2 linked regions of the Neurospora crassa OR74A genome follow. The protein of the gene in region 1 purifies or fractionates together with the protein of each later gene. This does not show direct contact. Links are inferred from orthologs where the notes say so. Each region holds a gene or a part of one and is shown in the gene's direction. Other genes may lie near its edges.

Evidence for each region.
Region 2: the proteins of NCU06409 (region 1) and NCU08323 purify together in Saccharomyces cerevisiae (affinity purification with mass spectrometry; 4 studies listed by BioGRID). This does not show direct contact. The link is inferred for Neurospora crassa OR74A from reciprocal best matches to the Saccharomyces cerevisiae genes KRI1 and ENP1.

Annotation. Positions count from the first base shown.
Region 1 is NC_026503.1:1,301,443-1,305,351, reverse strand, and holds NCU06409 (ribosome biogenesis protein Kri1), read left to right. Parts: upstream 1-1,294; 5' UTR 1,295-1,403; coding exon 1,404-3,575; 3' UTR 3,576-3,771; downstream 3,772-3,909. Other genes in the region: NCU06410 (GTP-binding protein YPT52), read right to left, coding at 1-461, 522-585, 654-728. UniProt on the Saccharomyces cerevisiae protein: Required for 40S ribosome biogenesis. Involved in nucleolar processing of pre-18S ribosomal RNA.
Region 2 is NC_026504.1:2,401,761-2,405,669, forward strand, and holds NCU08323 (bystin), read left to right. Parts: upstream 1-1,411; 5' UTR 1,412-1,575; coding exon 1,576-2,195; intron 2,196-2,256; coding exon 2,257-2,385; intron 2,386-2,448; coding exon 2,449-2,621; intron 2,622-2,689; coding exon 2,690-2,908; intron 2,909-2,962; coding exon 2,963-3,103; intron 3,104-3,179; coding exon 3,180-3,340; 3' UTR 3,341-3,639; downstream 3,640-3,909. Other genes in the region: NCU08324 (DNA-binding protein HGH1), read right to left, coding at 1-556, 630-743, 812-961, 1,032-1,052; NCU16789 (hypothetical protein), read left to right, coding at 3,783-3,858. UniProt on the Saccharomyces cerevisiae protein: Required for normal export of the pre-40S particles from the nucleus to the cytoplasm.

The DNA of each region.
Region 1 (3,909 bases):
CTTCAACGACGTCTCGGGGATGGCGTTTGCAATGGCTGTGAAAACCTCAGTAACGTTATGTCCGGTCTTGGCCGAAGTCTCAAAGAACAAGAGACCCTCCTCCTCGGCGTATGCCTTGGCCTCGTCCGTCGAGATCTTGCGTGCGTCGCCCGAATCCTCCGCATTGTCGTCGCCACCTCCGGAAGCCTCGGCAGAGCCGGCCGAGTCGCTGGTCAGATCCAACTTGTTGCCCACGAGCGCGATAACGATGCCGGGAGACGCTTGTCGCTGGAGCTCGGCGACCCAGTGCTTGGCCTTGATGAGTGAAGTAGGTTTCGTCAGGTCGTAAACGACAAGGGCGGCTTGGGCGTTGCGGTAGTACATGGGCGCTAGAGAGGCGAAGCGCTCCTGGCCTGCTGTATCCCAAATCTCGAACTTGATCGTCCTCGTGGGCAGGTTGCACTTCTGGGTTAGGAAGGCGGCTGCAAAAAAGTGTCAGCTAAACTGGTGCAAAGAAAGTCGTCATGACTTCAGGAACTAACCTCCTATCGTGGGCTCCTTGTTCTCTTGAAAGTCATTGTTGACGAATCGGAGGACGAGCGACGACTGTGGAACGATTTGTGTTAGGCATGTGTTTCTCGAGCATGGTGGTTTTGGAGCAGAAGACTGCGCACCTTTCCGACAGCAGCTTCACCTAGAAGCACCAGCTTGACGCTGCTGCTCGGCTTGGGCGCGTTCGTATCGGCCATTGTCGTTGAAGTGTATTGTTGCTACAAATCTGGGTGGATGGGTTGTGGAAACGGCGGGGCTTGCGGCAGCGAGCAACTACAGCAAGGGACAATAGCAAGAACGGCTATCTTTGATAATGCGACAGCGACAGAGCAGTGCAGTTGTGGAAGGGAGGACGTTGGGTGGCTGCCTGTTGGAAGACAAAAGATGTCTGAAGATGGATCGTTGATGGGTTGGGAATCGGAGTGAGGTGTGACGTGATAGGTAGACGGCAGCAATGAGAGTAAATGGATGGATGGAGCTTGTTCATTCAGTTAGTTCCCTTCCAGTCGGAAAGCCAGGCTCGCCGGGATCCAGCAGGCATTCGGTCGGGCCACGGGCAGGCGTCGCATGTCCTCGATGTCCCCCCTCGCTTGCGCTGTGAGTGGACTCCAACTTCCCCTCCATGCCAAGACTCATAGCCACATATGTATGCCTTTGTGAACCGTGCGCAATCTCGTGGCAGGCAAATTGGACTACAAGTACGTACCGCCAGCTGTAGCCCGGGGACTGGACTTCGAAAAGGTCCCCACTAAAAAGTTCACTTCGAAAATTTGGGGGCGTCAAAGTCGCAACGAAAGTCTTCCATCCTTTATGCGCCAGGATTGACTTTCCACCCCTTCGCCCTAGCATCTTCAAATCTAGCCCACCTCAAGATGCCTCGCCCAAAGTCAAAAGCGGCGAAAGCCAGAGTCACAGGCGCCAATACCGATCCCATTGTGCCTAGAAAGGGTCTGTTCGACGATGATGCCTCCAGCGAAGACGAGCAGGACGGCGGTGCCACCCTCGGTACCGCTGCCGACTTGAAGATCAATGAGGAGTACGCCCGCCGTTTTGAACACAACAAGAAGCGCGAGGAACTCCACCGTCTCGAGGAAAAGTTCAAGTCCAAGAAGGAAGGTGGGCTAGGCGAAGACGAGGACGAAGAGGACTCTTCCGAAGACGAGACCGAAGACGATGAGGGCTTCCTTGTCACCGAGGACCTCGACGCCGAAATCAACGCCACTCTAGAAGCTATCAAGAAGAGGGACCCCCGCATCTACGACAAGGAGGCCGTTTTCTACACGCCAATTGACGCCGACGGCCAGCCCGTCAAGGAGAAGAAGGAGAAGCCCATGACCCTGCGCGACTACCACCGCGAGAGGTACATGGCCGGTGACATCGGTGCCGACGAAGATGACGCGCCCAAGCCCAAGACCTATGCCGAGGAACAAGCCAACCTGAAGCAGAACATTCTGTCTGAGATCAATGCCGCTGTCGGCGAAGACGAGGAGTGGAGCGACGACGACGCCTTCATCAAGCCCGTCAAGAAGGAGGAGGCGCCTACCGAGAACGGCGTTCACCCGTCGCGCGCCAAGGCGATCGATCTTAACGAGCTCGACGTCAAGAACGCTGACAAGAACCCCGAGGAGTTCCTTTCCAAATTCATGCAGTCCAAGGCCTGGGCGCCCGCCGACGGCTCGCGCTGGGAGGCTTTCGAGTCGGACGAGGGTGAGGACAACTTCCCCGAGATGGCCGAGGAGTTCGAGCACGCCTACAACATGCGGTTCGAGGACCCCAACAAGAGCAACGAGTTGCTCAAGACGTACTCGCGTAACCTGGCCAACGCCAAGTCCGTCAGAAAGGAGGAGCTCACGGGCAGAAAGAAGCAGAGACAGCTCGAGAAGGAGCGCAAGGAGGCCGAGAAGAAGCAGCGCGAGGAGGAGCGTGCTCGTCTGCGCCGTCTCAAGATTGACGAGGCGGCCGAGAAGCTATCCAAGATCAAGAAGGCTGCCGGTCTCACCGGCAAGGAGCTGTCCGACGAGGAGTGGATGAAGTTCCTCGAGGACGCCTGGGACAACGACCGGTGGGAAGAGGAGATGCGCAAGCAGTTTGGCGAGGAGTACTACGCCGAGGGAGAAGGCGACGTGTCCGGCAGCGACGAGGAGGACGACGAGGACAACGAGGACGGCAAATCCAAGAAGAAGAAGAAGAAGCTGCCCAAGAAGCCCGAGTGGGACGACGATATCGACATCAAGGACATCATCCCCGACTTCGACGACGCTCCCGATGTTGTCCTTTCCGATCTAGACCTCCCCAAGCCCAACGGCGACGACCAAAAAGCCGAAGACGAGGACGCCGACCTCGGCTCCGACCTCTCCGCCGATGAAGATGAAGGCCGTCCCTCCAAGAAGCGCAAGACCACCGCCGACATCAAGAAGGAGAAGCAAGCCGCCAAGCGGGCAGCCAAGGCGGAACTAGCCAAGCTTGAAGCTTTGGTCGACACCAAGATGGAACTCGACACTCCTCGCGCGCTTTCCGCCCCCAAGGACAAGAAGTACAAGGAGAACCTGTTCCCGTTCCGCTACCGCGAGACTTCGCCCGTCTCGTTCGGCATGACGGCGCGCGATATCTTGTTGGCGCCCTCGGACGCCGCGCTCAACGAGTTCGCCGGCCTCAAGAAGCTGGCTACTTTCCGCGACGCCGAGAAGAAGCGCAAGGAACGCAAGAAGCTTGGCAAGAAGGCCCGTCTCAGGCAGTGGCGTCGCGAGACGTTTGGCAAGGAGTTCGAAGCGACTGGTCCTACCTTTGGGTTCGAGGCGCTGGACGAGGATGGTACGCCCCTTGGCAAGAAGGATGAGGGTGCGATTAAGCATAAGAAGAGGGGTGAGAACAAGGACAAGAAGAGTGGCGAGAAGAAGAAAGAGGAGAAGAAGGAAGAGAAGAAGGAGGAGAAGAAGGAGATTGCTGCTGGTGAACGGGGAGCGGATAATATCATCGAGGGAGAGAGGAAAAAGAAGAGGAAGAGAAGCAAGAACAAGAAGGACAGTGAGAAGGCTGAGGCCTAGAGTGCTTCGTTGCCACTTCGGTTGTCAGTATAGTTGGACAAGCAGTGGCGGTCACGTTTGTTTGTTCTGTTTAGGGTTTTGTATCGTTTAGTCTATTTTAGAAGGCGTATTGCATCGCGGTGTTACGGAGAAATCATACAAAGTTAGAATTAGCTATACCAATCCTCGATGCTTCCTCTCATCTCGGAGTTCATCGTCGTCTTCGCTACCTACTCAGTTACTCTGCATGACACTCAGATGGTGTTCAAGTTGTCTTCATGCTTTCCTGAAGAGAAGAGACACTCCCCTTCTCCCCCCTCTCCCCTTCCCCCCGGAGGCGGAGCGCCCGTCCTGT
Region 2 (3,909 bases), on another chromosome or scaffold:
GGTGTGTCAGGATGTTGCTGCTGTCGGGATCGCGCTGCTTGTCTGGAGGCAATAGCTGAAGATCGGTAAGCATTTCCAATGCCTCATCCTCGGGATAAACTTCGCCGCCCATGATAGGAAGTAAAATGTAGGGTAAGATATTGACGTCATCCTCATCCAAAAACGCCGGGTGCGAAGGAATGTCAAAAGCAGCGTTCTTGATAATGCTCGCCACTCCCTTTCGCCTGATATCGGACTTGTGTTCGGTAAAGACCTTGATCTTGTTGATTGGAATAACATCGTCGTAGTCCTGTCTGTTGACAAAGTAGTGCCGGATCTCTTCATGTTTCGAAAGGTCGGCAAAGACGTAGGAGAGGTAGTCGTAATCGGCGTGCTTGTTGTAAGTCCCGTCGGCGCCCTTGACGAAGAGGTCCATTAGTTGGTTAATGACCCTATCGTCGGACTTGAGCTTCTCTGGAGCGGGCTGTTTCCGGTCTAGAAGACTTTTGAGTCCATCCCACTTGGTCAAGTTTGCCAGCAACATAGCCATAAGATTGGCGTTAACCTCCTCGGGCTCCTATAGGAACGGGATCGAAGCGGTTAGTCCTTGCTGCGCACGCACCGTAGGAGCTCAGAATGGATACACATACGACAAGAAGCCCGAGGAGGATTCCAAGGAAGCGATCATCGGTCGCGACGTATTCCAGCACATCCTTCTCGGCAGTCAAGTTGATCAAGCATGTTAGGGCGTGCTCGGCGATTTTCTGCACATGGTACCGACGTCTTAGCTGAAGCTGCTTGGGCGCAAACAAGACAAGTCTGTTGGGCCTACCGGGTGGTCGCGGATCAAGAACTTGAGATGCTTGATGGGGGTGAGCTCGTCGGTCTTGAAGAGGGCGGGCTGAGACGCTGAGAAGGGCACCAGGTTCTCTGTCGCGAGAAGGCGGATGTTGGCGTTCGGCGAGGCAATGAAGCCCACGAGCTTCAGGCGATTATAGCGATTAGTTGTCTGTCCACTGACATTGACACTGCACTGGTTCTGGCAGAATTACCTCTTCAAGTTCGGTCGGCATGTTATCAATGGTAGCTGGATGTATGGTTGTATTGGACTTGCTATAAGCTCGTAACCGTGGCGAGCGAGGCTATGATGTCGCGACTTCCCTTGCTCTTATTCATGCAGTGGGCCAAGCTGCAAAAACTGTAAACACAGGGAACAAAATTCCAGGAATTTGCAACCGAAGAGGGGCACAGTGACGAAAATGCGGGGCAATAAAATGTTTATCGCTGCTCCGCCGGGCGCGTCCAAGCTAGACGATAAGCGATAAGAGGTATTGTACCGCTTATCATTTTCACCGCCCTGGCATCAGAAAATAAAGTGTGCCCACACAGCAAAGAAGTGACCAACCACAAGCGTAGCGCAAGCCTTTCAAGTGCCCAGACTTCTCCACGGCGGGAACAAATTGTCCAAGGGTCGCCGAAAAAAATATCCCCAATTGCCGTGTGCAGCCAAGTCGACATCGCAAAGAGAGGGGACAACCAGGAGAGCTCCGTATCATCAACTCTTCCCCCGATTGCACAACCCTACCGCCATTCAAGATGCCCAAGACAACAGCGGCGACGTCGAAGAGGCGCCACAACCCCCTCGAGGCCGACCTCGTTTCTACCGGCGTCCTTAAGAACAACTCCGGCAAAAAGAGCAAGAACACTCGCGCCGCCAACGACGAAGATGAGCAAAAGTATGTCGACGCCAAGGCTTCGCGCAACATTTTGGCTATGAGCCGTAGCCTCATCGAGGAGGAGGAGAACCTCCGGACAACACAAAACGCAGCCTCCGGATCTGCTCCTTCGGCGTTCGAGTTCGATCCATCGAGATTCGACCGCAACGATGACGAAGACGACAAGTTTGAGAACGACGAGGCCTGGGGCGAGGAAGAGGAGGAGGAGGTAGAGGAAATCGAAGTCGACGCCACCGATCTCGAGACATTCAACCAGTTTATCACACCCACAATGAACGAGGACCCGCTCCTAACACACGGATGGGATGGAAAGCCAGAAGGGGCAGAAGAGCAGGGTCAGAGCGTGAACCTGGCGGACCTTATTCTTGCCAAGATCGCAGAGAAGGAAGCCGGCGGCCCCCAAGGCGGGTACCGCGACGAGCCTGGCCCAATTGATGAGGATTACGAGATCCCCCCAAAGGTGATGGAAGTGTTTGAGAAGTAGGCTGGCCGTTATTTCTGTTACCCTCTTGGCAGACTACTGACAGACTCCTTCTCGCAGAATTGGCATGATTCTTTCTCGCTACAAATCTGGGCCGCTTCCCAAGCCTTTCAAGGTCCTTCCTCAGATCCCCCACTGGGAGGACATCTTGCCCATTACACAACCCGAGTCCTGGACTCCCAATGCCTGGTATGGTTGCTTCTTCCTGTTTTCGGGAGCCAGAGAAACGCTGCTGACATTTGCGATTGTTAGCTACGCGGCCACCAGGATATTTGCGTCCGCCAAGGAGGCTGTTCTTCAACGGTTTATGGAGATGGTGATCTTAGAACGCGTCCGCGAGGACATTCACGAGACCAAGAAGCTCAATGTCCATCTTTTCAACTCCCTAAAAAAGGCCCTCTACAAGCCTGGTGGTTTCTTCAAAGGTGTGTTATTTACTGCCTACGCTTAGTCAGGTTTGCTCAAAAGGGACAACCCAGCTAACCGTTGGCAGGCTTCTTGTTTCCTTTGGCGGCTTCCGGAACGTGCTCGCTGCGTGAGGCGCAGATCGTAGCCGGTGTTTTGACCCGGGTCACCATTCCGGCTGTTCATTCCGGTATGGCCATTAAGGGCTTGTGCGAAATTTCTTCTGCGCAGGCTTCTCAGCGCCTCGACTGCGTTAGCGCTACGAATTTCCTCCTCAAGACTCTGATTGAGAAACGTCACGCCTTGCGTAAGTCCAATTCCTAGCGTGCCAATGATTGTATTCTCTGACTTTGTAATACAGCCTTCCAAGCGCTCGATGCCCTCGTCTTCCACTTTCTTCGGTATCCCGCTTTCGCCACCGGCGGGCATATGGCACCCAACGCTTTACCAGTCATCTTCCATCAGTGCATGCTCTCATTTGCACAGAGATACAAGACGAACAGTGAGTTTGCTTCTTCCGTCGCTGTTTCACTATGCGTCCCTATTATTTTTGAGTACTAACCGCGGTCTTTGTGTAGTTACTGAGGACCAGCGAGAGGCTCTCCTGGATCTTCTCCTAACTCACGGCCATGACAAGATTTCGCCCGAGATCAGGCGAGAACTTCTCGCAGGTCGCGGAGGTGGTGTCCCTGTCGCGCAACCCGGATTTGATGGCGATGACACGATGCTGGACGCTTGAAGAAACATCGGTGATCCGGTAATGACTTATAGACGATGAACCCTTGGTATGCAACGAGGACATGTGGCTCATTTTTACCTGGTACGCGCATAGAGATGGGAGTCGTGTTGTTTAGTGACCTTGGTGGCTTGGGGCAGTCCTTAGACATTGACCCCTTTGATAATACTATGTCACGCCTCGACAGTGGCTACTACTCATCACGCCGCTTGAAGAGGAAGTGGTCATGCCAAGTCAGTCACCATGTACTACCCTTTGTATCTTAGTGGTGCTGACCAACCAGCAACATAATTGTTGACGACCTGTAATGCTTTAGTGCACGAAATTATAAATTCAAGATACCCGGTACAGCAACAGGAATTGTCGAGGAGCCTTGGAATAATCATTTTCAGTTATGTGAAGGAAGCTGCCTTTTGACTTCTTTGTTGCGTCAATCTGGCTTGGAATGCCCTTCTCCCATTTTTCCAAGTCCAAGGCAACCGCGATCCTCTGCCACGTTGTCGGAATCCTGAGAGAACAGTGTAAAGGGAAAGAAGGCAATGTAGCTCTCGCCTACTTCGATATCTCGTGTA